Lonchura striata: one gene and its partners. The main gene of each other region encodes a partner of the protein of the gene in region 4 in a complex. Links are inferred from orthologs where the notes say so. Each region holds a gene or a part of one and is shown on either strand. Other genes may lie near its edges. The genes, in order: SPTLC2, SPTLC3, SPTLC1 and SPTSSA.

Region 1 (7,867 bases), about 3.7 Mb from region 4:
GGAGTCTTCCCTAACTTCTCCCTCATTCTCCACTTACTTTTATACTACTTTTCTACATTTAGGTGGAGCTTTGGTGACTGCAGTCATACAACACCTTTGTTACCAATTGGTGTAAAATTCTCTCACTTTATTTTTAAACATACAGTCAAAAATACAGAGCACATGCCCAATGAGAGGTGGTTGTACCTTGGGGGCAGGTAACTTTGGGGTGGAGGTCTGTGTTAATGTTACTATTAGGCTATAATGAACCAAATTCATCCAAAGAGAATGATTTCACCACAGCTGTTGGCTCAGCAGCAGGACATCTTCTGCCTACCTCAGCTGACAGGTTTTATGCAGTTTCTCAGCTGCAAACTGCTGTCAAGCTCCCCTCCCTGCAAGGATTTCAACAGAGCCCAAATGAGGTGTCTCCACTCCACCCTCTGCTCCATCCCCCTTAGCAGGTGCAACAACTGTGTTTTACTCATAATTGCTGTACTGCTATAACCTCTATTAGGCTGTGAATATAACCTTTCAGTTTCCTCTGATATTACCCCCAGTCATTTTTCCACAGCTTGGTGAAATGCAGTGAAAGTGGATGGATGTTACTGCTGGTCTTAAGTTGGCTATAAGATAGAGTCTAGTCCATTGCAGAGAAACAGCCATCTCCATTCCACAATATTGCACAAGTCACTGCCCAAAGGAGGGCCAAATATCCAGAAAATTGAACTGACAAGGGTGGGATGGGAACAGCTATGACAGCTTCTAAGTACTGTTTTGTACAGAAGTCTTGGGGACAGGGAACATAACAAAAAGCAGGTAAAGCACAGGAGGATCCAAATAAAGCTAGGACAACCTTGGTAGTCAGCTCTGACTAAAGCCTAGAGAAAAATGGCTCTTTGGAAAGGTCTGAAAAAAGGTCTGGTGGTGTGTGCTCCCTTCCTCTCCACCTCTGGATGCACTGCAATGTAAGAAATGCTTGTCAGGCCTCAGTCTTGATGGACAGCACCTGGGCTCAGCTCTTCTTGAGCTTATCAGAAACACTGTCTGCTCCCAGAAATTCATGCAGTCTAATCAGCTCCTGCATTTAAACAAGCAGCCTTGGAAACTTAATTCTCTTGCCTGAATAACAACCCAAGTGTATCTTTTCTTTGCAAGCTTGATAGCAAAAACAACTGGAATTGCAGGCAGGATTGAAAATTACTGTGGTTAAAGCCAGCTCTCCTGTGACCCTACAAAGGGGAGTCCTAAGTGAGACCCTTAGAGCTCTCCAGGACTGCAGTAGGCTGTGACCAGTAATCTTGCTCTGAGTGGGATCTCTCTCAGAGCTCACAAACTTTCAAGTCTGCTGCCCAAGTTCCTTCCGGAACTTGCCCTTCTTCCATCTTCAAAGTTCACAACTCACTTCTCTGATCCATGTCCTACGTTCAGGGCTCCCTGGTGCATTCATTCCTAATGCCTCCATCTCAAACTCAAACATGAACACATCAGGAATTTGACCTCAAATAACGATGAGGCTTCTATGAGGCAAGTAATGACTCATTTGTCCCCCCTCTCTACAGCAAAAACAGCCCCATGGTTGTAAACTATGATCAGGATCTCTGCCTTGTTTGACACCCATGCTGGGCGATATTGTTCAGTTGGCAGAGTAAGGCAGTTTGCTCTGCCAGTTCACTGGAGTGCCAGTTCACTGGAATAGTATCCTTGAGACTTAAAATGTAATTGAAAACTGGAATTTGCTCTTTAGATTTCTTTTGGTTTCCCTATTTTGCAACTGCCTAGTCCAGAGGCACAAGCTGCAGCCACCTGTGTACACCGGTGCCTTGTGCACTGCACAAAGCCATATCAGAGTTGCCTGCAGGTGTGATTGCAGCAGCTCTGTGGGATTTGTTTGATGCTGCCTATGGCAGTAGCTGTGCCCTGGGATGGCATCCTTATGCTGTGACTTGTTTCCATGGATATCCTGGGCTCTTCTGTCACTGAAGCCCCAGTGTGAGCATGGCCTCCCATGTCCCCTGCACTGTGCTGGAAGGGACCAGATGCCCCTAAAACACCAGGTGATGCTGGCCCCATGCTCAGGGCAGGGTGAGGTCCCTCTGTGCAGGGGAGCACTGCAGCTGCTGTATAAGATTGTACAGTCCTGCATGAGCTAACCATTAGGTCCTTTAATGCTATTTACATTTCCTAAACCAAAACTGAAAAAATCACATTGTAAGGGTTCATGTTAGTTGGGTTCAAGGACAGATGAAGTGACCAGTCTCTAGGTACCTACACGTGAAAAGGGTTTGTGCTTTAATAGAGAACACAGCAGTGAGATTCTGTGCCTGGCAGGTGAAGCAGCTTATCCTCTCTAGAAGTAAAGCATTAGCAGGTGAAACTCATTCCTCTGCAGGTGGGCAGGCAGGAAGTGGAGGGTGCTGCCCTACACATGCCTTGTCAGTGTAGACTGATGGACAATCTGCACCCCATGGCAAAAACTAGTCAGTGTAATTCAATCTGTTCTGTTCAAAGGGAGAGGAGGCAGGAGGAAAATGCTTATAGTTAACTATGGCAACAGGGGAAAAATACTTCAGGAAGTCTACAGTATGTGATCCCCTAATACATTTTTCTTTCTTGTTCATTTTTTTCACTATATTTATTAGCTCCCTCATAGATTACTTCAACTCTGCAAAAGCCCTACCCTGCTCATCCAGAAAGAAATCACATGTGCCTCTTTCCCACCAGTGCTCCTCACTGCACCTACAGCAAAGCAAGTCCACTTGCACAAGTTCTCAAGTGCTAAGCAGGGGTGTTTGCTGCTTTGATCCCAAGGTCCTTCCTAATAACACCAGTCTTCTCCATGGTCCCAGCCTGCAAGACAGGAGATGGGACATGGCCCAGCCCATCTTAGCTGGTGGCTCTCTCTCGCTGCACGTCAAAACCAGGTGAAGAAAGCTTACTGCTGAGGCAAATGTATACCTGCTTCAGCGGTAGTCCACATATGGGAGTGGCCACAGCAAGAAAAGGAACAAGGTCAAAAGCCACCCTGCACTTGTTACTGCTGAGGCTGTGTTTGTACCCTCACCCTCTTTGTCCTCCAAAGGGGACATGGAGACATGAAGCAGACTGGACATGCACTGCTGCCTACAAATAGGCTGAAATCAAGCTGTGAAGCTTTCCTGTCTTCCTGAGGGAAGAAAAAAGACTGTCTTTCACAGAAGCTAATTCACTTGCTAGGCACTGCATGTTCATACCAAATTTGCAATACGATCCATGACAAAGGCTCCAAGATGTGACTATAATACATAAAAGTAACTATCAACAGTAGCAAATCACAGAGAAAAGGATGAGACCATTCTCTTGAGTTTGTATGCTTGAATCTGATAACTCTTCATTTTGGTTTTTCCCTTGTTGCTAAGTGCAAAGAGAAACCACAGCCCTTCCCTGTAAATGACACTGGAGAAATCAAAGGTCACACTCGTCCATCTTTTCAGTGTGATTAAATGTGTCAGGCTGTTTACTTTCTGCCAATTAACACTCCTGCAGTTCGGGAATCGCTCCCTACTCCCTCACCAGGATGCATACAGGTGTTTAATAGTGCACAAATGCAGACACTTTGTGGCTTCCTTCTGCCCGTGTCTGCCTGACGCTTGGTCACTCAAACTGCATTGAGGCTGGTAACTCCCACTCCCGAACTAAATATACTTATTTAGTTTAGCATTTAGTTTACCTGGTCTTTGAACGAAGCACATATCTTCAAATCCTGTCAGAAAACACGTTTGAACACATACCTAGTACGGTTTTTAAGCAGAGCCGTGGGCAGAGCGAACAGCCGGGCAGCTCCAGCTGCCGGGCGCGATACAGCTCAGCAGGGCGGCCAGGCTCACGCCAGGCTTCAGCCCTGTAAGTGTAAATCCTACCGGAATTGAGCTCTGCCCGAGGCTGGCCTGCAGGCTGCCCTGCAAGGGCCTTCGGTGTCCTGGTGGACTCCAGCCAGGATACATCTCTCCCGAGCCGTGGCGAAGGCAGTACAGTAACTACGCCTGATCCCCTAAACGCTTTTCGGAGCTCTCACCCGGATGATTTCATTAGGGCACAGCCCAAGGCGTCCTGGGACAGCCCTCCAGGTCTCGGAGGACCGCTTCATTCATCAGCTCCCTCAACAGGAACCAGCGAGGGGCTGCCCGCTGCCTTACCCACCCCGGCCCGCTCCCCGCTCCAGCCACCAGCGTGCCGCAGGGCTGCCGGTTTCCCGGCGGGGGTGGTGACGGTGGTGACGGCGGCGGCGGCAGCAGCAGCAGCAGCAGCAGCAGCAACCTGCGCCGCGCTGGCTCCGGCCTCCTCCCCACCACGGGCAGGAACGCGCTGATGGGCGCTCCGGTCCCCCCGGAGCGGTACGAGGAGACCGGGGCAGCGCCCCGCTGCCCACTGACCTCGCCCGCCCCAGCAGCCCCGCGCCCCTTCCCTGCCCGCACCCGCGCCCGCCCATTGGCTGCCGCCTCAGCCGCGCCCCACTCCTCTCTCCGCCATTGGACGGACGCTGCCCCTCGCTCGCGCCCCTCCCTCAGCCTCGCTCTGTGATTGGCTAGCTATTCCCGTCCCCTTCGCGCCCCGTCCCGTCCCTGCCAAGTGATTGGGCAATGCTCACCCTCTGTCTCCGCCTCTCCACGGGCGTTTCCCTTCGCCATTGGGGGAGCCCCTCCCTTGCCCTTGCTCCCCTCCCACCCGGGCGCGGCGCGGGCTCCCATTGGGCGCCGGCCGCCCGCCTCGCACGCGCGCCGGCGCGCCCAGGCGGGGCCCGTCCCCTCGCGTGACGCCCGCGCCGGCGATTGGGGGAGCGCGCGGCGCGCTTCCGGTGCGGAGCGGCCCGGCCGGGCGGGGGCGGCGGAGCGGGCGCGGCGGGGCCGGCGCGATGGAGCGGCCCGAGCGGCCCCGCGCCAACGGCTGCGGCGGCGCCCACGGCGCGCTCCGCAACGGCTTCGTGCGCGGCCCGCCCGGCACACAGGTGTGCGCGGGCGACGGGGGCGCGGCGGCGGGCGGCGGGGCCCCGGGAGGCACCGAGGCGGGGCCGTGAGGGGTGTCGGCAGAACCCGATGGTTTGTGTCGTCGGCTCTCGCCCGGGGCGGGCGGGCAGCGCCCGGGGCGGTGCTCGCTCACCGCACTGGTGGCGGCGTGGGCAATGACTGTCCCTCGAGTCACGGCTGTAACTTTACTGCGAGGCTTTTGAACTTAAACCTCGCTGTAGCTCAGTGGGTCTGGGCTTTAGCAGAAAAGGTTCAGCAGTTCTTCGCCACCGTTTCGCTGTTCCAGGCGGACGCGCGGGGCTGTGGGTACGAGGAGCCCTGAGCACGGACTTCCTCTAGAGCAGAGTTGGAGCTTGGTGCAGCGCTTCCCATCTGCCTGTATTAACGCTGGGATGCAAGTGGGTATTTGTGCTTGCGGACTCCAGCTGTTTCTATGCAAAACACTCAAGGTTTGTGTTATAGTGTAAAGAACTTAAAGGTTGTTATGAAGTCAGCCTCAGCAGAAGGCAATAGGTTGTGTTTCCTTGAACACTTCAAGCTGCTTGATAAAAGCCTTCCTCTGTTCTCATCTCTCCTGCTGCTTCTGTTTTTCAGTCCTCTGCTCTCCCTTCTATTTTTTCAGCGTAGGTTGTGGACTCACTGTGTGGACTAGATTGAGAACTGATGCAGGGTAAAACGAAACTTTTTTCCCCCCTGGGTTATCTTTAACTGAGGATACTTATTCTATTTCTTTGACTGGATAGATGCTCGTAGTCTTTCCCTGGCCCTTGGGAGATACAGCACAATATTGGAAGTGAACAAATGGAGGGAGGTACAGTACATTCATTTGGCAGCAGGGTCAGTTTGTACTTGTTTGGGGAGCTGTGGCTTTGGTAGTCTTGCCTTGCAAACAGCAAGCACTGCTAGCTATAAAACCTTACATGTAAATCTTGGTAATAAGATAAAGTATGGTGCTGGAGAGTGTTCTTCTGTGAGAGTTTTTCCCCACCCTATGCTTTCTAAAGAAGAATGTCTGAATACAGTTATATTCTTCCACTTCAGAGGAACAGAAGGTGGGGTCAGGAAGCATTTCCTCAAGGGCTTTGTTTACCTGTGTAGCTGGAGAACATGGGTGATGTAGTGTGTGAATGAGAAAAACCATGCATATCAAACTGAGGAAACTTTAAAAACCTTGCTGATTTATGCGATGTTCTATTCACTTAGTAGCTTGCATATGATACTATGCTCAGATATGTTTTGGGGACCTGAGGCATTTGAGATAACTATTTCTGAAGTGGGTCAGGGTTCACTGGAGAAATGGTCATGAGAAGTCTTACCAAAAATCCAAAGTATAGCAGCAGTGTGAGATTTAAGAGTGTAGGAAAGTTTGGTATCTTTCTGGCAGCTGCTTGATTTATAATTAGGAGTATTAAATTTTTTCAATTTTATGTGGGCTAACTTTATGTTAACTTTCAAAGTAAGGGTCTGAATGTTACAACTGGACTGGAAGAAGCAATTATTTAGGAGAACTAATTATGTCCAGCTTTCTCAGATAGCATCTGTGGTGGTAAGCTGCCAAAAGATGTGTTTGCTGATATATCACAGATTTGGTTAATTGATTGGTATTTTGCCTTTTCAGTTTTGTTTTTTGAACCTTTCTATAGAAGAAAGGAAACGTGAATGCGCACATTGTGTTGTATATATTTGCTGTGTATGTATATGCTATGTACTTACCACATACAGCACTTGAGAATCTGCAACTGTAAGCAAGTACCAAAAAGGAGGCAACTTGCACAAAAGAATGTGATTGTTACTTAGTAGGAAAAAAACAAACAGAAAAGTGAGGATGCGGAAAAGAACTTTTTCAACAAGGCCTTTCACAGGTTTTGTGTGAGAAATAAGAGGTAAAATGAGAACATGAGATCTAGCTGAAATGATGGGAAGTGAAGGGGAAAGGAAAACCATCAGTTTAAATAAATGTTGCAGTCATTGACAGTTTACCTGGAAAAGCATGGAGCTTCTGAGGGGAGAGCTTAGAGACAGGGTAGTGCATTACCATGTCCCCCAGTAGTGCTTGATAGTGCAGAAAAGCTTTACCCACTTTTAACTATGTGAAAAAAAAGGAGTCCTCTTCTACCTAGGACATTTCTGCTCAGACTATCTATGTAAGTTTGGGTTTTTTTTAATTCTTGATTTGTTAGTTTATGTGGTTTTGTAGGGTTTTATCCTAAAAAAATAAAGCTTAAATTCAAATGTTTCCTTATGGTACTCCCTCCACTGAGGGTGGTATTTGACATATAGAGTGGGTTCTTTACTGTTGCTCCAGGATGCACAGAAGAGGGTGAAATTGTTTACTTAATTTTTTAAGAGGTTGTATTTGTCTCCTTCTGAACTGCTAAACCTCTTTGGTAAGAGGAGAGGGGAAACTTGCTGCCTACTAAAACTGTGCAGTAACAGACCCTTGACTACCTTGGAGATTAATAAAATATTATCAGTGATTGGGAAAGTGGCCATTTGAAGCTAGGGATCGAGCATAGCAAAAACATTCTGCTGAAATACTGAGATAAATACAGCTCTTGGCTTTCCTGAGGTATCTTGCGTTCAAATTACTTGGCTCCTGCTTGAAGTTAATCTGTTTAGAGATTGTTACATTCACTGAATTTCAGTCTCATTATGAACACCTTTATTAAAAGAGGCTGAAGTACCAATGGAATGTTGGAGAAAAGTGACTTTTTTTCTGACTGTATACAGTTAAGGGAGTTAATGGTTAGAAAGAATAGTAATTTATGGAAGGGCTTAAAATTTATCTAGAATTCTGGTGTAATACTGCAGTATGTAAGATAAAAGCCTGACATGTCAAAGGGTATTGTCATGACATGAGAAGTTGAACATAGATAGGAGAAAGA
Region 2 (7,979 bases), on a different chromosome or scaffold from region 4:
CATATAGGAAAACTTGGATACCTACAAACCATGGATTTAAGGAAAGTAAAGCTTACTGGTTCTCCCTTTACTCCAAAATAAAGCATGGTATCTATTCTTACCTTCAGGAAAGGCATGACAGCTCTTAATGCATATCTTTGGAAGTATCAAAAGGCTCCAAAGCTGTCAGGATTTACACCCTTGTGAATTATAGAATAGCACAAACGTAATATTTAAGGATTAATTTTTTTCTTTGTCAAACAACACAGAATAAAGTTCTTAATAGTATTATTCTTTCATGTTTTTATGTTTTTAATATTTGGGGAAAAAAAACCCCAAACAAAAAACTAAATTAAAAAAAAAAAAACCTTCTTGGCAGGTAGCCTGACTTTGTATTGATCGCTTCTTGTTCTTCACATATGGTGAAATGTTATTTTTAATGCTGACTACACGCTAAATAAAGAGAGAGATTCACATAGGGTATATCCAAAATAACCCAGTGTTGGGCTTTCAGTACCCCAGAGTGGATTTGTGCCCTATTTTTGGTACTTCTTATTTCTTTAGCATAGCATTCTTTAAAACCAATAAATAAACATAAAATCTACAATCTTAAAATATAATCTAGGCAAAACCAATTCATAAAATACTGAATAGTTGATGTACAGTTGAGGCAGAATTTAAAGACTAACCACAAATTTAGGACAGTTTCCCACACATGCTCCTCTCTTCAAAGTTTTCAATAAATCTCTTACACTCTATTCCCATTCTCTCTAGCTTTATATTATTTTCCTCATATTTATTTTTTATTTCAATCAAAAGCCACTTTCTTGTTTTTTTATTTGAAAATTGAAAAAATAAATAAATTCTGTAGAATCACTTTGTAGACACATAAGAAACTACTGCATATTTCAAAGAGAACGTTTCACACTCAGTATATTGAAAAATGGAATAAAATGTACACACCAGTTCTGGAAAAAGCAAAAGATGCTTCCAAGCAAATTTTTCAAGCTGTAAGGATTTGTCTAGTACCTAGTTGATCCGATGAGCTTGTAAAAAAAAAAAAAAACCAAAAACCAAACTACAAAATAACAACCACCATAACTGGTAAGTAACATCAGTGTGATGTTCTCCAAGACCTTCTTTGCACTACTTTTGATTTCACTCTGCATACACTTTATTGTTCTTGTGCCTTTCAAGTGCACAAAACAGAACAAGGTCTACTCAAGAAAATAACACATTTGGAACAGAATTATAAAACCCTCATCCAAACTTTTTTGCAGTTCTAACAGAAAAAACAAACCAGAGGGTCAGTCCAGGAAGAAAACAAGGGAATTAACAAAAACCAGATAAATAAGAAACTCTTTCATCAGCATAGCAATAAATAGCCAAAAGAGGCAGCAATAAATAAAAACAATGATTACTGCAGGGACTTCAGCCTACACCTCTCTAAGTGTTTAACCCTTGCCCCCTCTTGTGAACTCTGTTTATCTCCTCCCCGATGTGCTTTTTCCTGTTCCTGAGGTCCCTATTTGTTTATCACCTGTCTCCAGAGCAGGTTGGCTAATTTAGATGTGACAACTATTAGTTGCCAGACAACACGTGGCACCAGCTTTTACACAAGTGTCTGTATTTACACATTTGTTCTTTCACTTCTTTGGGGGGAAGATCATAAAATCAGCATGCTGCAGACATGAAGAGAAGAAAGAACCTCAGATGATTGAAGAAACCACATCTCTTACGCTTAATTAATATCAAATTTATGAATATTAATGCAAGGAACACCTAGGCCAAGATGGAGAAGGGTGTTTTGGAGAGAAGAAACAAATGCAGCTGCTGATTAGCTTTGTAAAGGCACACAAAAAAGCTGTTACTGATGGCAAGAAAAGGTGTTTCATGTGTCCCAAAAACCATTCTTAAAGCAATGCAATACAAACCTGTTTGGCAGAACAAACCCTGAAATGCCTAGTGTGTAGCAACATGGCCACTTGCATGGTCACTATAAAAGTGCCATGAAGCCAAAGGACATAACTGTTTCACAAGTAGACTCATGGGATTAATAAAACATCACATACAGGCTTCTAAACTCAGTTCAGCTCACTTTCTAAAGAGAACAGGAAAAGCTCAGCCCTTCAGCAACCTTATTCACAAAGCAGAGCTGTCATGTTTCATGTTAAAGATATCTTATTGGCTTATGTGTCCATGAAACACCCACACAAAGGCCACAGGGGAGCAGGAGACCCTAAGTGAGCAAATAAACAGACATCCTCCAAGCTTTGGTTGCATTCAATAGCAACAAGAAAACCATTGCAGATTAAAGTGAATGGAAACACCAGGATGAAAACCTACTCAGAAATCCAGCCCCATGGAGGGGGAATTTGGCTGAATTGGCCCCTTGACAGATAGCTGAGAGAGAAAACCCTAAGTGACAGCTAGAACAAGAGGGTGTTATTAGAGTCACTGCAGATTTCCTAAATGTTTTGGGATTTTTTGCTGTGCCTGTAAGAGCTTCCAAGGTTGTAATCAAGAGCTCAATCCTTTGTTACTACACAATTTGCTTTCCTGAGTTTATATTCTTGTTTGAACTTGCCTGCTGTTGTGTAGCTCTGGCAACCTGAGGTGCATAATTTCTCCCGAGGACAACAATAAAATAAATAAAAGAAGATCCCACAAAGAATGTGCATGTGTCCCATCAAGAAAACTGAATGCTGTGAAGACTGGTGTGATGAAGATACAGGACACACACAAAAAAAAAAGGTATATTTTGACAGATACTTTTCACTGACCTGCAAGTAGGGGAAGAGATGGTTTATGACATGAGGGAATCCCACAGTGTCTCATCCTGATGTCAGTAGAACCCAGGACCAGCAATCTGTAAGCTTAGAAGCAAACAGAATATTTACATATTCTCTAGCTCTTCAGGCTGCATTGGCAGTATTCTGTGTGTCAGTTTTAAGAGCTGCCTGATCCTTAGCAGCTGCACCTGATTATGTGCCAATTAATACAAGAGCTCCCACAGTGTAAATATGAAAGGTTTCCTTTCCTCTGCTGTTAATTTTTATCTTCAACTTCAAGAAAACTGTATTGATCACCCCATACTAACAACATCATTTATTATGGTTATTAGGCTGTTATAAATCCCAGGGAACCTCAACAGATCTTACTATTTTAGGTAGGGGATTTATAAGAAACATTTGGCAAATTGTTTGGATGAACAAAATGTCCTGTCTCTAAACCATATGCCCCCAGCAGCACCAGCTACTTGTGTTTCCTTCTCCAATGTGCTACACAAAATGCCTCCCAGTCTCTCTGCTTGCCTACATGTCCATCCTAGTGCACACTAATAACCATGACTGCACTGACTGGGAACCAATTCCAGAGACAGATGGATCAGCCACAGGGAGGGAAGGCCTGGGGCTGCCTCCAGGTCACACAAAGTGACCAGAGACTCAGCCCTTGGCAGGGCAGGACAACTTATTTCCAAAACCTGGCAGCCACCTTGGCCTCCTCTGATATTCACTCCAATAAATTTCCAGGAGACACCTTCTGCACGCCCCAGCAGGTCCCTGCTCCTGCCTGTACTTGGAGCAAAACAAAACCAAAACCTTTGGCTGAGACCTTTCCAAACCTCCTGAAGAGGCTTGTGACTGGGAGGTAGCTTAGGTCAGTCTGCTGCTTTTGAAAACTCCTCTTCTGGTCTGCAGTATATTTTGTGTATTTAATGTATAAATATTCTGAGAATTAATGCTTTCTCCCTCATAGCGTTGCATAATAAAAAGAGAAATAACACCTAGGAATTGCCACTGATTTAGAGCTGTAAACTATTTCTTCTCAGCCAGCTGGCTTGTGTGTGTGATATAAGCTGCTGTGTATTTAAAAGCATAGCTTTCTCCCACGCTTGTCTCATTTTGGGTGACTTCTCTGGTGTCTCTTTGCAAAGCTCTTTTACCAGGGCAGTGATTTGCAGTTCACACAGGCCACCAGGCTGCTGCATTATGACCTTATGTTATAGATAATACAATTTAAGATGCTGATTACAGAATGGTTCTGTGAAATAGGAAGGAAATTTCTGCTGGTCTGTGAGGCTATTTTGCTTCTCTTGAAGCATAAATGAGTTTATTTTCTCACCCTCTAAAGATCAGCCATACTCTTTGCAGCAGACAGACATGATATATTTTCTGCTAATCCTATGGTTATTAATCTATCTTGTGGAGCAGCCGTGGCTCAGAACCAAAGCGAAGGAAAACAAGGTTTGAACTTAATACAGTCATGCAAGGTGTTTGTTTTTACAGGTGACACACCTATGGCTGGCTGTTTGGAAATGTGGCATTATTCAATGGAATACAGAAAACAGTCAGACTAAATGATTCAAAAATAATAACCTTTTTGCAATATGCACTATCTCTACAAGTGAAAATATTAGCATTATTAATAATAGCCTCACATTAATGCAAAGCTGTGCTGTCACCTGCCACAGAACAGCAGCTGTGTGTATGACTCCAATGGTAATTACATTACAAGGATGCCTGGAGCCTTATGCTGACATTAAGTGAAACAAGCGTGGAATTTAATGCATTTAACAAAGTAAAAAAAAAATTAAAATAATACCTGTAATTTAATATATGCATGTTCTTCACCATGGCAATTACCCACGAGTCCACAAAGAACAGACGGAGCTTGAGGGTATCAGAGAGTTTATTCAGAATTATTCCTAGGGATGATAGCACTTCATGGTTTGAAAAACAAGCTGGTTCATTACATTGCTTTCTGCTAACTGCATTTCTGCAAGATGCCCCTTTCATTTGCTCATTTGCTCAGCCAGGACTGAATGAAAAGGAGCTGAAAGGGAAAAAAGAAATTCAGAATTATTAACCTAATTTTCCAGCTTAATTTTTAGCACAAAGTAAAAACATGTAATCATCACCTCATAATAATCTGTGGACTCAGTTATTCTCACTTAGGTAGGGTTGCAGAAGTTTATGCTCCCAGAAATATATACCTGTTGGGTTCATCTGGATCTGCAGCCTTCCAGAAGTCTGTTCCAGATTTCTGAATAGACCATGCACCCTGATGTGCTGAGGGCATCCAAATGCTCCAGTTGGATCATCCTCAGTGATCAGCAAATAGATCCTTTTGTCAGCATAGGCCAAGTGTAGTTTCAGGTTACCATGTTTCTGACACACGAGATGTCTGAAATGTTGAGCTGAAGTGCAAGGTTTACAAATTTAAGATTCCAATGTCCCTTTTTTGTTTGTTTATGCCTCAAAACCCTAAGAAGTAAGGAATTTGCCTCCTTACTCTGTCATTCTCAGGTTAAGTTCTGAATTTCTTCAGGTCAAGACAGCTACTTCAGGGGCCATGCTAGTTTTTCTTTCTTTTATTGTTCAGTATGCTGAGGAGATAAGGGAATGGGTCACGAACATCATCAGAAACATCACATTTGTTTAAGCATATTTGTCACCACAATCTCATTGCTATCGGCTTTTCCTATGCAGTGGTGTAGAACTCATAAAACTGTTCTTAAATATTGACCCATTTTATTTGCCTAGTTACCAGCTTGGTTCATTTATTCTAAAATAATCAATAATAACCTGGCAAAACATTTCCTCAAGCATTTTCTAACCAGCCAGTATAAGACCAATGTTGAAAAAATTGTTTTCTTAATTACAATTCTAAATTATGCTTTGTTTATTCAGGAAAAAAAAAAACACACACAGAAAAGTATGGTCTTATCTAGCAAGTGAGATTCTAAAAGATCGTGCTTTTTGAAATTATAGCTGGAAGTTGTAATGGCACAGGACTGTTCCACTGAAATATATTTATGATGGAAAAGAAATTATTGGAATGAAAAGCTATGCTCTTTCAAAAATGTTTGGATTTCATTTAGGAAGTGAGATCAAAATATTTTGCTTCAGGATAAGTAATCTGGTATTGCAATATTTGGTTGTGAGACAGAGTCAAAATATTAGCATCATTACAGTGATAACATGCAATTCTGACAAAATCCCTCAGCCTGCAGAGAAATTTCCTACAGGTCACTGCAAGATTCAGTAACATAAGGTAGGATAAAGTGTTTCACTGTGGCTCCACAAACAGAAATTAAATTTATGTGAAAAAGTTTAAATTACTTCACTTCAGCTTAAAGACCTGAAGGGTTGTGTTTGGACATTACAATTTGAAGAGTTTCTTTGGACTTTGGTTCCAGATTTAACTTTTGTTATGTTTTATGTGAATTTATTGTCAATATTATTATTTATTTTATAATCTTCCACAGTAAAATAAATTCTAAATTTTTAGGATTTCTAGCATCTGATTATGTTTATCATAATCCAAGAAACTAAATTACCTTAAACATAAAGTAAGCCCATTTGTCTGTCCCAAACACATATTCACATGGCTTTAACAAGACTTAAGGGATGAAGGGCAATATTTTGTAATTACAGGAAAGAAAAGCCTGCCCATTGTTTTACTTCGCAAGAGTCTTCCAGTGTCTAAATAACATTGTATTCTGCAAAAGCCTAATAGCCTAGTATTTATTTCCAATTCTTGAAAGATACATGAGAGAAAGATGAATGTGTTGCTCTCCCTGCTGCTGAGGTGAGAGGGATTGTTCCGTCAGCCCTTTGAACTTCCTGTTTGGCAGGTAACAGACCCTGCTAAAAAAATAGCATGTCCAAAGTGTGAGAAATTATTACTCACTTGTAGAAAGGTTTATTAAACTGTACCAAAAATACAACAGAAGACTGAGTAGAGAAAATGTTACGGTACTGGGAGGAACAGATTTTCCATGTGCTCACCCACACAATGGAGGTTTTGCCTTTTTACCCTTTAACCCCTCCCAAAGCTCTGTCAATCGACCTCTTTGCTGTTCAGTGGTGGACATCACTTCCTCAAATCCTGATTGGAGGTCATGAAATAGAGATTTTTGGAGTTCACTTAAGTTAACTAAATGAATTAAGCATTTATATTTTAGCTTGTAGAGTTACGTGTTGAATTTTAACCTTTTACTTAAAAACCTCTGCCATGGTACAAAGGGCATAAGAAAATGCAAATTTTTGAAATTTCTTGCATAAAGAACAATGCCTAGGGATGCAAAGAACCCAGATAAAGAAGCTCCACTGTCTCCAAGCCCATCAAAACTGACAGATGTACTCAGATAAGCACCAAAGGACCAAAAGCACATGCGCAAAGGAGAAAAGTTCAAAAGTCATGAGGAAGACCACAATCTTCAGCCTCAAGAGACCACCAGAGACCCCCACAGGACCACCACGGTAAACCATGCATGCCTAGAAGGGTGTGGACCTATTTAGCATGAGAGGCGAGGACAGGCGGGGCCAGGGGTTGAATATGCATGGAAAAGTTGTGTAATGTATGGAACATGGAACACCTTTCTCAGTAAAGGTGTGGGTCAGACCGAGGCTCGGTGCACAAGTTTTTGGAGAGATATCTCACTTGTGCTGGGTGCTGACAGTACATACCCACTTCAGAACTACTCCAGCTTGTGGAGTCTATTTATTTATCCCACGTATTGCTTCAGTCAGATGTCACCACAGTGACAAGCTAACCCTCCCAATTGTCCCAACCCTGGCTGTCTCTGGACACCAATGCAAGGGGGTGAAACATAACTATAAATCTATAAAACTTTTCTTTACGTATATACATGATAATTGTGAGAGTCAATCATCGCATTACTCATCTATCACAAAAGATATGCTTGAAGCCTGTGCTTAGACTGTGTGAGAAGCTTTTATTGAGCACTATGAATACCCAGGGAAAGCAGGGGGAGGGAATAACACCGGTCACTCCAAACTGACACACCAAACAACTCAGTAAACCTGGTGCCATCACCTGGGACTCTTAGTTATTGAAATCTAGAAAAAGCCACAGCACACAAAAATCAAAAACCCTGCTGCTGTAGCATGTGACAATATGACCCAAATGCATGGAAAAGGATCTGGAGAGGGCAAGGCACCCTGAGGCATCAAGAGGGGAGGTGGTGGCCA
Region 3 (6,971 bases), on a different chromosome or scaffold from region 4:
ATGTACTTTATTCTGCAGCAGGAGCAACCAACCCAGGTGGAAGTTCTGGGCTGTTAATCTCCATTCTGAATATGTCTGAAGTTTTGAATGAGAGATATGTGAGCTCTAACCACACAGGATACAAAACCTAACTCTGCAACAGAAATATTGCAACACCACACATGGTAACTGGTTCTCTGCAAAGCAAGCATTCTCATTTAAATAATGTTATGTTCTGACAGTGGTCCCCACAGCTCTTACAAGTTCCTAATACAAGTTTTCTTTAGTTATCACATAACTAGGCCTACCTGGTGCCAATTCCATTTTAAGATGGCTAGCTCAGCCATGTACTGGAAATTTCATGCTTAGTCCAGTGCAGCCAAGCCCACATGGGGAACAAGCATTGAGAAGAGGTGTAGACAGGCAGACTGCTATGCCTATATCCACCTCTGACAAGTGAGCTTTTCATTCCAAAGGTCCACCTTTGGCTGAAAATACTTTAAGTTTCCTACATAGTTCCAGTAATTGTTAAGTCCAAAGAATTGAGGTTAAGTTTGGTCTTTATGGTATGCCAGGAAAATATTACAGCAGTTCCACTTTATGCCACTTAGTCACTACAGTTGTTCAAGGTGGCATGGAAGATTTAAGAATAGCTAGAATGCACCAGTTCTTTGACCACTAGGTGCTCTTACTCTTTCACAAATCTTGTGTCAAAGGTTGAGATCTCCAGATGTTTCCCATGCAGACCTGAGACAGATTTCTGATTTCTAATTTAATAATTAATTCAGAGCTAATTCACTGTAGAAATTGGATTAAGCACATTTCCGAGATGCAATGGTGCACAGATTTAGATAACACAAAGTTTATCCTGTCCTCTGCTTGCCTTGTGCACAATTGTGCTCCTCCACATATTAGGCAAATGACAGAACCTGATATTCCAGTTCTTCTTGGCACTTGCAGAGTACTCTTGCAACATTTTTGGGCTTTCCATTAGGAGTTGAGACACAATTTCTGGCTTAACAGACAGCTTTCAACTGACTTTGAAATTTTTCTGTGCTTGCTGCCAGCATCATCTCAGTGGAGCATCAAGTTTCAAAGACTAAAAAAGACTAACTAGCATTATCCTGCTATTCCCCTTGCCATTTTGGGATTGCTTTCCCAATACTTTTTTTAAAATATTTTTTTCAGGGTAGTCACAAAGCCAACATGTTACAACTAGGCACACTAAAACCACAATAATCTAAACAAAGCTTTCATCACCTAGAATGTGTGAGAATAGCTGCAAACACTCCCTTATGTCTCTATTCTCCAACACCATCACCCCCCTTCCGTGTTTATGGTTGGAGAAGGCAGGGAAGAAGTAAATGACCCTCAGGAACTTTTCCCACCAGTTCCCACATGTCTCTGCCCACTAGACACATACCTCCAAGACAGCAATACAACTAAGATGACAGCAAGTACCACCATCCCTTCACAGTTATGTGCCACTTCCCCATGCCATTCTCCCCTTCTCAGTTGATACCAGGTCAATAGAAGGTCTGACTATCTCATACTTGATAAAGCAAAAATTAAGAAGCCAGAGGAAAAGCTAATAGAGCAAAGAGGAAAATAACAGAAAAATAACTGGCACTGGGTACATCTGTGATAGGAAAAAAATAAAATTCTTAGCCATACTTAATCCTATTTTTCACTTTCTAGAGTGATCAGAGAACTACAGCAGATAGCTGGAATTCTAGTGTTGACCCAGGAGAACTGGGGATTCAAAGCAGTGTGTGAGAAATGAGTCAGTTGGTGAGGGAGATCCAAAATAAGAGTACTTTAGAAATACTGTGCAAATGGAGAATATGGAGGGAATACAGAATTTGAAACATACAGACCAGAAATTCTTATAGGGAACTATCTCAATAGCTTTCATCAGGTCTTTAATTTTGGAGATATTTTTTCTCTCCCCTTTCTTTCCAGTCATAAACTGTCATTGCGAAGGACTTATCCCTTTACCTCCCTCACTTTATTACTGTCAGAAGTAAAGCAGCCTAAAGCAATTAGCAGCCGTTGCCCTGTGTTGAAACAATGAAACTGCTGAGCAATAGGGACAGGCTCATTATTATGAGAGACCCAGCACTATGATAATCCAGACCAGGAACTCTGAATCCACTGCCAGAAGAATTACTGCTTAGCATGTTAATAACTTCACTGCATTTCATGCTGGAAACAATTCATCTGGTGTTTCACAAAATCAGTTTTTTAGTCTTCAAATGGTACATATATATGTCAAATATTGAAAGTCAGAATCTGATGAGAGCAGAGATATGACTCAATCTGCTGCCCACCAAGACAACTCATGTGGCCCATGCTACTGGGGGCAATTTGGGACTGCATACCAGACACATTTTTTGAGGCTGGTATAGCAGCCATCTCCCAAGAGTCCAAGACTCCAGCATGACACATTGGCCACAGAAGTACTTAACAGTGAAGACAAGATTTTCATGCAACTAAAAGCCAAGACATATTTATTGTCTCTCTTGACTTTTCAGATAGCCTCAAACCACATATTTCTCTTTATTGTGCAGAGATTGGAATTTTACAAGTATATAATTAAGTTCAGAAACTCAGGGAGATTAACTATTATGCATTTCAAGTAGCATGAAAGTGAAGTTCACTGATTTTTACTATCCACTACTGTAAAATCGTAAGCTACTCTTTGTCTGTAGTTAGCAACAGCTACAAGGTTTTTGCTATCAACTGTTTCTTCAACTGTTGCCCCAGGTTTCTCTCACCCAACCACAGTGAAGACTAGTGAGTGAAAACCCAAGGGTGTGCCTCTGTTGTGTTGTCCAAGAAGACCATCAGAAGCACTCCGCAGTTGTGTAGCTCCAGGGAAACCATTCTCAAACATCATCTTTAACAACTACCTCACTTCCCAAGCAGTCTTCTTTCCAGTTGCTCCTCTTCTCCACTGACTTTTAGATAGTTGCTCAGGTCCTGCACAGCTATGCACAGTGACTGACCCATCTCCCAACACCTGGGTGTGGGGAGAGTTCAAAAGTACTACTTTTCTTCCTGTCATTTATCTCTCCCAACAATCTTTGGCTTTTAGGGCCACTCACTTTGGCAAGACTCTTAATGTAGCAATTTCTGCTCTTATTTGAACTTACCCGTTATTTCCACTATATTCAGGTTTTGTTTTTGCTGCTCTTTTCATTAGCCAAGTGTCTGAGCAATTGTTCCTTGCAGCAATGAATTCACTAGTTACAGATAATACAGAGGTGTTAAGTGTAATATTGAGGCACACAAGCACAGGATCTGCCCCTTGCCCCATTGCACCTAGGGCAGCGTGGGGCTGAGCAAGCCTGTGTGTGTGGAGGAAGCAACACCAAGCTAACTCCATCAAGTTCAACAAACAGCACCAGGTTTGAAATGTGGTGAGGAAACATATTAGTACATCCACGTTTATCTTCTTCGGCAAGTTCAATTTGTAGCTAATTTTGTTTAGCCAACACTGAAGGGTGCATCTATGTATGTGTTTAAAGAGCAGCACAAAAGAATGGAGTCAGGCTGTTCTCAGAGGTGCTGAGCAGTAGGACAAGAGGCAACGGGTGGAAACTGAAGCACACGAAGTTCCACCTGGACATGAAAACTTTACTGTGCAGGTGACTGCACAATGGAACAGGTTGCACAAAGAAGTTACGAAGCCTGCCTCATTGGACAGATCCAAAAACAGTCTGGAGACAGCGCCACGCCATGGGATGGCCCAGCTTGAACAGGGAGGTTGGACCGGATGGTCAGCCGCGGTCCCAGTCCGTGTGACCGACTGTGGGAGTCAGTGTTTCCCCGATCTTCCCCTCGCTCCCCGCTCACGCTCGCCGCCGGGCGCCGCGGGCGGGAGCGCCGCGCCCGGAGCCCGCCCGCAGGGCTCCGTGAGGGCCGCGCGGGCCGCAAGGGGGCGCTCTGCGCCGCGCCGCGCGGGGCCCGCCCCGGCGCGCGGGCGGAGGGGCGGAAGCGGCGCGCGGCCATGGCGGCCATGGCGGGCGTGGGGCAGCAGTGGGTGCTGGTGGAGATGGTGCAGGCCTTCTACGAGGTGCGGCCGGGCAGGGCGGCTTGGGGAGCGGGCAGGTGTCGCCGGAGCTGCCCCCGGTGGGTGGTGCTGGGTGGTGGATCGGGAGCCGGGTGCTGCGGGGTCGGGCTGCGCTCGCTGAATGGTGAGGATGTGTGAGTGCGCCATGGCTGTGCATTGAAAATATACGCGCGCGTCTTATTTCTCCGGGTTTATAAAATGACATTTAAGGCGTGCAGGAGAGCATTAAGCCTTAAGGTTCACAGGATTTTACTGGGGTAAGGGTTTGTAAATTACAGATGTCGTTTGCGAAGGAAGAAACGGCGTTTAAATGTTTGGGCTTGAGTTCCCTCCTGGAGGACATCAGCTGTGCGTGTTTGTACCCAGGCTTTGTTCCGTGATGTTGAAAAGGATGTCCTGATGATAGGCCTTGTTTTTGTGTCCCTTCCTTTAGCAAAGGGTCTAAAGAATGTATGCAAGATTTGCAGTCCAAATATAGAAGTGCTTAGCTAACGAAGCAGGTAGCATCGCTCTAGTGCACTGAACCCAGGAGAATTGTAGGCACTGAAAAGCACAGAGACCTCAGTGGCAGTATACTGTGTGTTCTTTACATGTCGTGTCATATGTGTTGTGTATGTAATCTTAATATGTTTGGTACGCAGGTACTCTGCAACAGGTAACATTTGTTATTTGAAGTTTGATATGCCGTAGGACTCTTTACTCGTTTTAAAAGCTTGCATCCAATTTACTTTATTTTCTGGATGTATGGTAAGTTCTGCCTTGTTGGCAGGTCAGATACCACCAAAACTATTGATGGGTGGGAGCAATTCCCCTGACTTGAAGAGGGGGTATGCTGGTTTGTGTGCACTTCTAGTCTTAAAAATATAGACAGGAGCCTTTCTGAAATGGAATAACGAAACTTATCATTAATACTAGGTATCCAGTAACTCCACATCTACTTCAAATCAGCTGCACTGCCAGAGCAAACTGATTTTTGTCCCCCAAGCACCCAAAGAAGATTACTTTAACTTGCATCAACTCTGGTTTGCTTTGTGTATTCACACACTTTGTGTCCACACAAGAGAGTAAGAGACAAAAGGACAAAACTAGTTGAGCTGACTCAGTTGTTTTATACCTGATCAAAGTGCCTGTTAAACTGACAGAAGCTGACTCTAAGAATAGAATTGTCTTTCCTTGTAAATACTGGCTGTCCCGGCTGTGGACTGTAGGTTACAAAGATGGAGAGTTGAAGTGGCTTTGTATGGATGACACAGACTTTCAGGGTCTCAGGATACTTCTGCTTGTTTTGAAGGCTGCCTGCCTTCATGGGTGCTGACTGGTGCAACCTGTTTTATGACTTAACTGCCTTTACTCTTGGTATTCAAATTATGTGCATGAACAACAGACTAAATCCATTCAAACTTAAGTTAATAGCTACAAGTAATAGCTGCAAAACGTTCCCGTTTCATATAGTTAAAATTTTTACTGATTTAGAAATATATCAGCTGATGATCAGCTTTGGGTTTTTTTCTGGGTGTGCTAGTAGGGACAAAATGTTGTGTCACACTGCTTGAAATAGAATTCTCTCTAGACTAATTTTTCTACTTTTGTTTTCAGGCTCCAGCTTACCATCTCATTTTAGAAGGAATTCTAATACTATGGATAATCAGACTTCTTTTCTCCAAGACATACAAGCTTCAAGAGCGATCTGATCTAACACTTAAGGTATGAGGAAAAATTATTTCTCTTTAGAGAAACAGTTTAGATTGATGTACTGGGTGTTGAACCGCTGTTGCATTATACATGGTTCTGCTGGTTTTTCTTTTCCTTCCAAGGGTGAGCTTACTTTGGACTCAGGAGTTTAAATATGTCAGTTTGTGCTTTTAAAGTAGCACTGTGTTTGAGAGTCTGAGAAATAAGAAAACTGATATGATAGTGACTGTTAAGCTATGAAAAGCTGTCATTAGCTCTGCTGAATGGAGGGCTTTATTTTAAAAATGGAAGAGCTATGTGAAAAACGCCCACCAAGCAAAATTAAATGTAAGATTGTAGATAGTAGAAAAATGCTCAAGCTGTATGTGTGGTGTCTATGAGTTATAACTCATGAGAGTTTACAGTGAATTCCACAAAAATTGTTTGTGTTTAGCAGCAGTTTTCTACTTTTGCAGTGTCATTCTGAGAAAATAAAAAAAGCTGTACTTATGAAGACTGGAGTTTCTTCCTGACTTCTGGCTGTAGACTATCACAAATGAGTAAAGTGTGTTTTGAGGATGTCCCTGGAGTAGTTTATATGAGCTTCAGAATAGTGAACCCCTTATAAATAGGATAAAATAATGAAATTTCTTCCTGGTACTAAAGAAAGTCTGTGAAAGAGATTTATGGGTATTTGTAATGGGTATATGTAATTTTCATCTATGTCATGTGTGTACATGCTTTTTGATCTTATTCTCATTAATGATGCACATTAAGGATGCGTGCTAAGTGTAATTCATCAATGAACAGGATGCAAGGACTGTAGGCACAAGTCTATAATAGTGAGCAAAACTGCAGGCAGTGTCCTCATTTGGGGAGCACTTATTAAACAAGCTTAGAGTGTTCTAGAGAGCACTTCAGCAGATATTTATTGAGACAGCCAGCATGGCTTCACCAAGGGCGAGTCCTGCCTGACCAACCTAGTAGCCTTCTGTGATGGAGTGACTCCAGTGGTGGACAAGGGAAGGGCTACTGGGGTAATTTATCTGGACTTGTATAAGGACTTTAACATGGTCCCCCTCAATATCCTTCTCTCTAAATTTGAGAGAATTAGGTGTGATGGTAGGTAGATAAGAAAGTGGTTGAACAGTCTCACCCAAAGGGTAGCAGCCATTGTCTCTGAATCCCAATGGACATCAGTGACAAATTAGGTCCCTCAGGAATCTGTCCTGGGATCACTGTTATT
Region 4 (7,719 bases):
ATTAGGCTGTTGTTCTTGGTAGATTTGCAGATGTGGTTTGTGTTAACGGTATTAACCCAGCTGGCAACTAGGCCACACAACTGCTTGCTCACTCCCCCCCACCCTCTCCCCCAGTGGGGAGGAGAATTTGGACCTGCAAACCCACGGCAAGAGGAGCCCACACTCCTTGGCAGGCCCATGTTGGAGCAGACAGCCTGGAGGACTGCACTGGAAAAATGACCCACAAAGGAACAGTTTGGGAAGAAGTGTTGCATCTGGGATGGACTCACATTAGGGAAGTTAGTGCACTTCTGGTGGGGGAGGGAGTAGAGCCCAAGAAGCAGGGAGAGTTAAGGGAAAGTCAGATTTACTGTACTTCTCATTATCCTGCTCTGATTTTGTTAATAATGAATTCAGTCATTATCCCCAAGTTCAATGTGATTTACCCATGATGGTATTCAGTGAGTGAGCTCTCACAATACTTAACTCATGGACCTTTGTGTGTGTTTCCCCTGTCCATTTGCAGAGGGGAGAGATAGAACTGCTTTGGTAGGTGCCTGGTGTGCAGCCAGGGTCAACCCACCACTACAACACAACTGCTCACCACCTGCTGACCGAGAGCCAGCTTGTCTGTGAACAGTAACCATCTGCTTTCCAGGTAACTCCCCCAGTTTATATACCAGGCATGATATTTTAGGGTATGGAATATCCCTTTGGCCAATTTGGTCACTTGTCCTGGCCAGGCTCCCTCCCCTTTTTTAGTGGTGCTCCTCACTAGCAGAGCATGAGACACTGAAAAGTCCTTGACTTACCCTACTAAATACCTCTTAGAGTGTTTTGCCAGTGAGCAGGGTCAGAGAGACAGACACAGACACCAACTTAAGGAACAATGTAATTTACTATAATGCAAAGCTGCAAAGAATCACAAAAGGATAGGCTATGCAATGCACATAATCCTTAGCAAAGAATTACAAAAGGGTAAGGTAAGCAATGCACCTCATCATTACTACAGGAGAATGCCTACAGTGATTAAGACAGATACATCACTAGTTACCCTCATACTTCACCATCATCCAGGTCCTCAAAACATCAACTGTGAGGGGGAGGCTGTCACAGCAAAGGACTGGAGAATCATGCCTGTCCACCTTGCAGGCCTCCAGGCTTCCCTGATTTTGCTGTGAAAGTAACCCAGATTTTATACTGTTAAACAAACAAACGGACATAATTTCTAATTTCACTCTTCTATTGCTTTTTCCCTAAAGCCTGACCAAGGCTCCACGAGGAACCAAGTGTTGTCTTTGATCTTATGTCCCCCTAGTAAGGCCTTCCCATGTTTCTATATATGGAAAGGTTTGCAAATAAATGAATACATGTAACAATACTTTATTAATGACTGAATATATACATAACATTTGGCTGGAATGTTCATCTAGAGGTTAACTTTTGCCCAGGGCCTTAGTAGTTAATGTAGCAACAACCAAAAGATCATGGTATTAGTGAGAACATTATTCTCAGACTAAATCCAAGTTACTGACAAGAATATGAACTCCATCCCAGCCAAAACCAGGACACTGATAAAGAAGGAATTGTCATGATACTTGGATTTTTGGAAACTTCTTGAATTTTGAAACTTTACTTTATACAGAGTGGAAGATGAGCTTACATTGATTTGCTGGCATGGACTGTTCTACCACTGATCATGTAAATCAACATGCCTAGTAATACAGCTAAATGTTGTACATGTAAATATGTATATTTACATATACATAGTAGAAGAAAGTACTGGACTTTATTGTCATTTTTCCTTATGATGATACATTTTAAGAAGAAATTTATAGTCAGATCTATTACCATAGAACCACTTTGCTTTTTCTGTTTCTTTAGTACATTTTTATTCTTTATGGGAGCACAAAGAGCTTCTGTACTTGGTATTTATGTCTGTGAAGCCACTGTATTGTTAATTCTGGATCCTTCCCTGTGTTCATTCAGGTGTGTGTTCTAGAGGCAAACTCTTGCTTTTTATTTGTAACATCTTTTATAGCCTGATATTTTTTAACTGTACCTTGAACAAGGGTCTGTCTGGAAAAAAAAATCTTTATGTTTTTTCTCATAATAGTACTAGGAATAACTAGCTATATGTGCTTTAAGGAATTGTCAGAAATATTTGAACTTTGGAGGTAGAAACCTGAATAACATCTTTTGTGCCTTAGATTATAATAAAATCTCGTAACTCTTTGGTTACCGTTTGTAGTCCCTGGTGTGGTATTTGACTGATCTACATACACATTCTATGCTGTTACATGAGATTAGGAAGAAATAAACATGCTGGTTCTTCTGTCAGGATTACATAAGAAAAGCATGGAATTACTATTTTCAAATCAGCAGAAACTGAACCTCTGCTTGATGAAGTAGAGAACTGTTGATGCAGCTGCTGAACATGTGGTTGGTCAGTATGATGTGCGTCCTCTGCATATGCAACCTACAAACAAAATGGAGCTCTGCTGGTTCTGAGGCTTGGGGTATGTATGCATGAGACAAGATCTCAATCTCATCTTTGCTACTACCTACATTCAGACTTAATATTGAAGTATCTAACTTGCAGTATCAGATAGATGTGGGATCATGTGAAGTGGGATAAATTCTTATGAGGTGTTCACAATAAATTTTGAATGTATGAAGAACTGTTTCTTGGTAGAAGTGTGGAGAAATACATGTAATAGAGAATATGGTCTGTGCTCTAGAGCATGCTGGCCTTGATTTACTTCTATTTACATTCCAGATGAAACAGAAAGGCTCTCTGTAGTGTCAGATTAAGGATGTTTGCACTGACCTACTGGAAACATGAGCACGTGAGAATGTAGTTCAAGGCCTCAAATGTCGATGCAGGTGGTATCAGGAAAAACAATTACGTGTGACAGTCCCTAAGCAGGGGCAGAATGGAGCTGGTGAAGGAAGGGAAACTGTACAGAGGAATAATGTCCATTTCCATAAGGGGCTAACTAGCAAAAAAACTCTCATGAGTATGCACCATACCAAAAAATGTAAGGGGATAATTATCTGATGACTTAGGGCAGATGTATGAGATTGTGAAGCTGTCATGCCTCTAAGCATTACCTTTCCTCTCATCCCAGGTCCTTTATTGCTGTTGCATTTTGCCTGCCTTACCACTTGAATTGCAGAGCATTTTGTTAGGAATTACAGGAACAGAGAGCACTGGATGGATGCCTTTGCTCCATGTTGATACCATTCTTGCAGCTTTGAATGGGAAATGCTTTCATTGTGCTGAATACCCTACTTGTCCTTGAACTTTGGACATGTTTATACAGAAATGCACCTTTCATGATTACCACTGTTTACTCAAGCAACATCAACACAAGACTCCTCCAGCAGTGACTGCAACAAGCAACAGCAAACTTGGATAGTGGCAACAGCTCCCACAGGCAGTTATGTCAGGATATTAACCATGTGAATGCTCTCATTTCTCCTTGTGTTCAAATAAATCTGCATAGATAAGGTGTGTCTAAATGTCTTCAGGATGAATCAAATCCCATTTCAAATTCCGGCCACACAAAATAATACAGTCTTATGTTTTTGTTGCCAGCTGCTTTTCTTTTTCACAATTACCTCCTGGTCCTGTAGTTGCATTTTGCAGCTGTATAAGTAACTCAAACATTAATGCTCCTGTGGTTGTACTTCCTTAAGTTTTCATTGTATAAATAGCACAGGATAAGGTAGAGGTGGAACAGCGACAAGGACAAAATCATATTGCTAAGTGACATAACTGCAAATTGATTGACTAAGCAGAGTAAGTATAGTGGGTCAATTCCAGTTTCTAATCTATGCTGTGCACACTTGGAATGTGTGGTCTGGACTAGTGGCCTGGACACAGGGCCTGGAAGTTGCAACACACACTCTGCTCATTTAAGGTGCCTGACGATTGTGCACATCCCCTTCCAGCGGGTTTTGCCAGCATAAACTGCCCAGGGCCTTCCTAATCACGAAGTCCCAAACCGGCCTCTGGGAATCTCTGGTTTGTGGCTCTGAGTGCCTTAGGGTTGTGCAACGTTAGGACAGTCACAGTAAACAGCTGATTCATCACTTTGTTTTTCCTATACATATGGATTAATCTGGCCAAAGCTGGCCTATCTTAAGGTCGCATTTATCTGAGCTACGTTTTTGGGTAGGCTTTGCCCTCCGACAACTGAACCAAGTTGAAGACTCGTGCAGATAATTTTTAACATGTCTCCCTTAGGCCCTGCCAAACACAGGCTTTGGCTCTTCCGTGATTCCAGCAAGGTCAATTCAGATCAAAGAGGCCGAGAGAAAGCAGATGCAGCACCATCTCCTCGGTGTGACTCGGGCCGGGAGGTTACCAGCTTCAGAGTCAGCCGCGTATTTTAATCAGACTGGGCCCGATGTCGGCGTTCAGCGGGAGAACCGGGGAAGCGGTGCGCATCGCCGCCGCTCTGCCCCGCTCCGGGAGCGGCGGCAGCGCCCCGAGCCAGCTCCACGGCCCGCGGCGCCCCCTCGCCGGCGGCCGCGGAGCCTCCCCGGTGCCTCCTCGCCGGCGGCCGCGGAGCCTCCCCGGTGCCTCCTCGCCGGCGGCCGCGGAGCCTCCCCGGTGCCTCCTCGCCGGCGGCCGCGGAGCCTCCCCGGTACCTCCTCGCCGGCGGCCGCCCGGGCGCAGGGCGGGGCCGGGGGAGGGCGGGCCCGGCTGCACCGCCCCCGTCTCCGCTCGGCCTGGCCCGGCGCGGGGCCGCTGGCGGGCGGGGAGCGCCATGGCGCTGGGCTCGGCGTGGAAGCAGATGTCGTGGCTGTACTACCAGTACCTGCTGGTCACCGCGCTCTACATGCTGGAGCCCTGGGAGCGCACCGTCTTCAGTATCCTTCTGCCGCGGGGCCTGGCGGGCGGGGGTGTGAGCGCGGCCCGGGCTGTGAGCGCGGCCGGGGGGTGAGCGCGGCCGGGGGGTGAGCGCGGCCCGGGCTGTGAGCGCGGCCGGGGGGTGAGCGCGGCCGGGGGGTGAGCGCGGCCCGGGCTGTGAGCGCGGCCGGGGGGTGAGCGCGGCCGGGGGGTGAGCGCGGCCCGGGCTGTGAGCGCGGCCCGGGGCTGTGAGCGCGGCCCGGGGCTGTGAGCGCGGCCGGGGGGTGAGCGCGGCCCGGGGGTGTGAGCGCGGCCGGGGGGTGAGCGCGGCCGGGGGGTGAGCGCGGCCGGGGGGTGAGCGCGGCCCGGGCTGTGAGCGCGGCCCGGGCTGTGAGCGCGGCCCGGGCTGTGAGCGCGGCCGGGGTGTGAGCGCGGCCGGGCTGTGAGCGCGGCCGGGCTGTGAGCGCGGCCCGGGCTGTGAGCGCGGCCGGGGCTGTGAGCGCGGCCCGGGCTGTGAGCGCGGCCGGGGGGTGAGCGCGGCCGGGGGGTGAGCGCGGCCCGGGGCTGTGAGCGCGGCCCGGGGCTGTGAGCGCGGCCGGGGGGTGAGCGCGGCCCGGGGGTGTGAGCGCGGCCCGGGGCTGTGAGCGCGGCCGGGGTGTGAGCGCGGCCGGGCGGTGAGCGCGGCCCGGGGCTGTGAGCGCGGCCGGGGCTGTGAGCGCGGCCCGGGGGTGTGAGCGCGGCCGGGGTGTGAGCGCGGCCGGGCTGTGAGCGCGGCCCGGGGCTGTGAGCGCGGCCGGGGGTGTGAGCGCGGCCGGGCTGTGAGCGCGGCCGGGGGGTGAGCGCGGCCGGGGGGTGAGCGCGGCCCGGGCTGTGAGCGCGGCCCGGGCTGTGAGCGCGGCCGGGCTGTGAGCGCGGCCGGGGGGTGAGCGCGGCCCGGGGGTGCGAGCGCGGCCGGGGGTGCGAGCGCGGCCCGGGGGTGCGAGCGCGGCCCGGGGCTGCGAGCGCGGCCGGGGGGTGAGCGTGGCCCGGGCTGTGAGCGCGGCCCGGGGCTGTGAGCGCGGCCCGGGCTGTGAGCGCGGCCGGGGTGTGAGCGCGGCCCGGGCTGTGAGCGCGGCCGGGCTGTGAGCGCGGCCCGGGCTGCCCGCTCCCTGTCGCGCTGTGTCCGGCGGCGGCTCCGGCGCTGCCCGAGGCCGCCGGGCGGGTGTGGCGGCTCGGCCGGCCCTGCGCCGTGCTCGGGGAGCTCTCGGCCGTGGTCGTGCTGAGAACGCCGCCGCCGGCGGGGCTCGCTGGGCACAGGAGAGTCGGGCGGGGCGGGGGCAGCCGGCCTCAGGCGCTGAGCGCGGCCGGGGCAGCGGCAGTCTCCGCCTGGGAGCCAGGCTTGACCCCTCCTTGCTGGCGGGGACTCGGCTCCTCACCCTTCCAAACTAACATCCTGCCCGGGCTGGGAATAAACCCCGCTGTGCTGTTTCGCATGCTGTGTCGGGCGTCTGGCAGCCTAGTCCGTTTTCTTCTCCGGCATAAGTTTGTAGCTTTGAAGTTATGATGGTTCTGTCTTTTGCATTGAAATCCCGTCTTTTATGATTTTTTTTTTTTTTTTGTATTTTGCCTAGAGGAAAGTAAATATGCACGCTGCAAAACCTTGCAAACCTAGACTTTCATGCAGCTTTGTCATATGGCTTTTGTTACATGGGTATTTAATCCTCGAGCTGGTGAGTTTTCTTGGCTGTTCTAGAGTGGAAGAACTTGACAGATGCTCATGTAAAGGCGTCTCTATAAAGACTGTTTATAGGTTTGCTTCTTTATCTTGCCCTTTTGTACAGGCAGTGCATTTTTTTTTAAGTATTGCTGTTACATCACAAGTATTTTTTTCTGACTTTTTGATCTTGACTTAAAATGATCTCTCAATATGAGTGCCCCTGAGCCATGTCCAGTTAATGCTTAGTGGTAGAGAGAGAAATTAATTAAAACATTGAGAAGGGTACGAGCAGTAGCAAGAAGCTGCTTTTACTGAGATTCTTCTTAGTTTTGTAAAGAAACTCACATTTGTTATGTAAAAGTGGTTGTCCAAGTTACAGTGTTGTGATCAGTCATTTTTTTTTCCTGTGTCTACTCAGTAGAAATGAAGATTAATGGAAAAAAGAAGTAGTAAGTTTTATAGACTTACTTTGCACAGTTTTTTGTGTAGGGGTTCTTACGTTGTATTCCATGTTAACATAACTTCTTCCTTTTATGCTATGCCTGTATCACTGAGGAAGCCTAATTTTTGTTTTCCTTGCAATTACATATCACGTGTATTTTTTTTCCTTTTTACCTTGTGCAAAATATTTAAGTAAATGAAAGCGTGTGCACATTTACTTGCATAAAATGTTCATATTGTAATTGCCACATAACATACAAATGTAAAGAGCAAGCATCGCTTCTGATCTCAGATCAGCAAAAACGTTTTTTGTCCTCAAACTGGATGCTTTGGCTGTTGGTGGGTCATGCCTGCCAGGTGCTGTATGGATGCACTGCGGACACAGTGGCCTTGGGAACTAATGGTGCGTGGCTGTGCTCCAGTACCAGAAGTGAGCATTGATGTGGAAACGTGGATTTATGAGTTGACCTTCATTTTAGTATCTCTTACTGTATAATCCTCTGGGACTGTAAATACACCGAGCAGCTCTAACAGGCACACCTCATAGCTCTGCTGTGCCGTGGGCGAGTCGGCCATGGAGCGCTTGTTACGCCTGTGCTGTGCAGCCTTGATCTCAGGAGAGCAGAGCGCGCAGCTCCTCTGGTTTCACCTGTGGAAGCAGAGTGCTGCTGCCTGGCCTTATCATGCTTGTTAATCTCCAGTGTGTTTTACAGTGTTTCAGGCTAAGTTTACCGAATCTCTG

The links.
Region 1: the proteins of SPTSSA (region 4) and SPTLC2 are in contact, whole or in part, in a cryo-EM structure (PDB 7K0K), measured with the Homo sapiens proteins. The link is inferred for Lonchura striata from reciprocal best matches to the Homo sapiens genes SPTSSA and SPTLC2. Residues at the interface, in NP_612145.2 of Homo sapiens: Trp15, Tyr18, Gln19, Leu21, Leu22, Val23, Thr24, Ala25, Tyr27, Met28, Leu29, Glu30, Pro31, Trp32, Glu33, Val36, Phe37; in NP_004854.1 of Homo sapiens: Leu73, Gly77, Val80, Leu81, Phe84, Leu87, Arg88, Leu91, Leu126, Arg129, Ile130, Tyr156, Met475, Pro476, Ala477, Lys478, Gly480, Ala481, Arg484, Glu485, Asp533, Leu534, Leu535, Gln536.
Region 2: SPTSSA (region 4) and SPTLC3 share a complex: the UniProt entries of both Homo sapiens proteins name them as parts of the serine palmitoyltransferase (SPT) complex. The link is inferred for Lonchura striata from reciprocal best matches to the Homo sapiens genes SPTSSA and SPTLC3.
Region 3: SPTSSA (region 4) and SPTLC1 share a complex: the UniProt entries of both Homo sapiens proteins name them as parts of the serine palmitoyltransferase (SPT) complex. The link is inferred for Lonchura striata from reciprocal best matches to the Homo sapiens genes SPTSSA and SPTLC1.

What each region holds. Positions count from the first base shown.
Region 1 is NC_134608.1:21,927,441-21,935,307, forward strand, and holds the start of SPTLC2 (serine palmitoyltransferase 2), read left to right. Parts: upstream 1-4,867; 5' UTR 4,868-4,870; coding exon 4,871-4,963; intron 4,964-7,867. UniProt on the Homo sapiens protein: Component of the serine palmitoyltransferase multisubunit enzyme (SPT) that catalyzes the initial and rate-limiting step in sphingolipid biosynthesis by condensing L-serine and activated acyl-CoA (most commonly palmitoyl-CoA) to form long-chain bases.
Region 2 is NC_134605.1:4,828,115-4,836,093, forward strand, and holds the start of SPTLC3 (serine palmitoyltransferase 3), read right to left. Parts: upstream 3,015-7,979; 5' UTR 2,763-3,014; intron 1-2,762. UniProt on the Homo sapiens protein: Component of the serine palmitoyltransferase multisubunit enzyme (SPT) that catalyzes the initial and rate-limiting step in sphingolipid biosynthesis by condensing L-serine and activated acyl-CoA (most commonly palmitoyl-CoA) to form long-chain bases.
Region 3 is NC_134642.1:7,226,080-7,233,050, forward strand, and holds the start of SPTLC1 (serine palmitoyltransferase 1), read left to right. Parts: upstream 1-3,955; 5' UTR 3,956-3,991; coding exon 3,992-4,057; intron 4,058-5,650; coding exon 5,651-5,758; intron 5,759-6,971. UniProt on the Homo sapiens protein: Component of the serine palmitoyltransferase multisubunit enzyme (SPT) that catalyzes the initial and rate-limiting step in sphingolipid biosynthesis by condensing L-serine and activated acyl-CoA (most commonly palmitoyl-CoA) to form long-chain bases.
Region 4 is NC_134608.1:25,602,037-25,609,755, forward strand, and holds the start of SPTSSA (serine palmitoyltransferase small subunit A), read left to right. Parts: upstream 1-4,704; 5' UTR 4,705-4,757; coding exon 4,758-4,860; intron 4,861-7,719. UniProt on the Homo sapiens protein: Component of the serine palmitoyltransferase multisubunit enzyme (SPT) that catalyzes the initial and rate-limiting step in sphingolipid biosynthesis by condensing L-serine and activated acyl-CoA (most commonly palmitoyl-CoA) to form long-chain bases.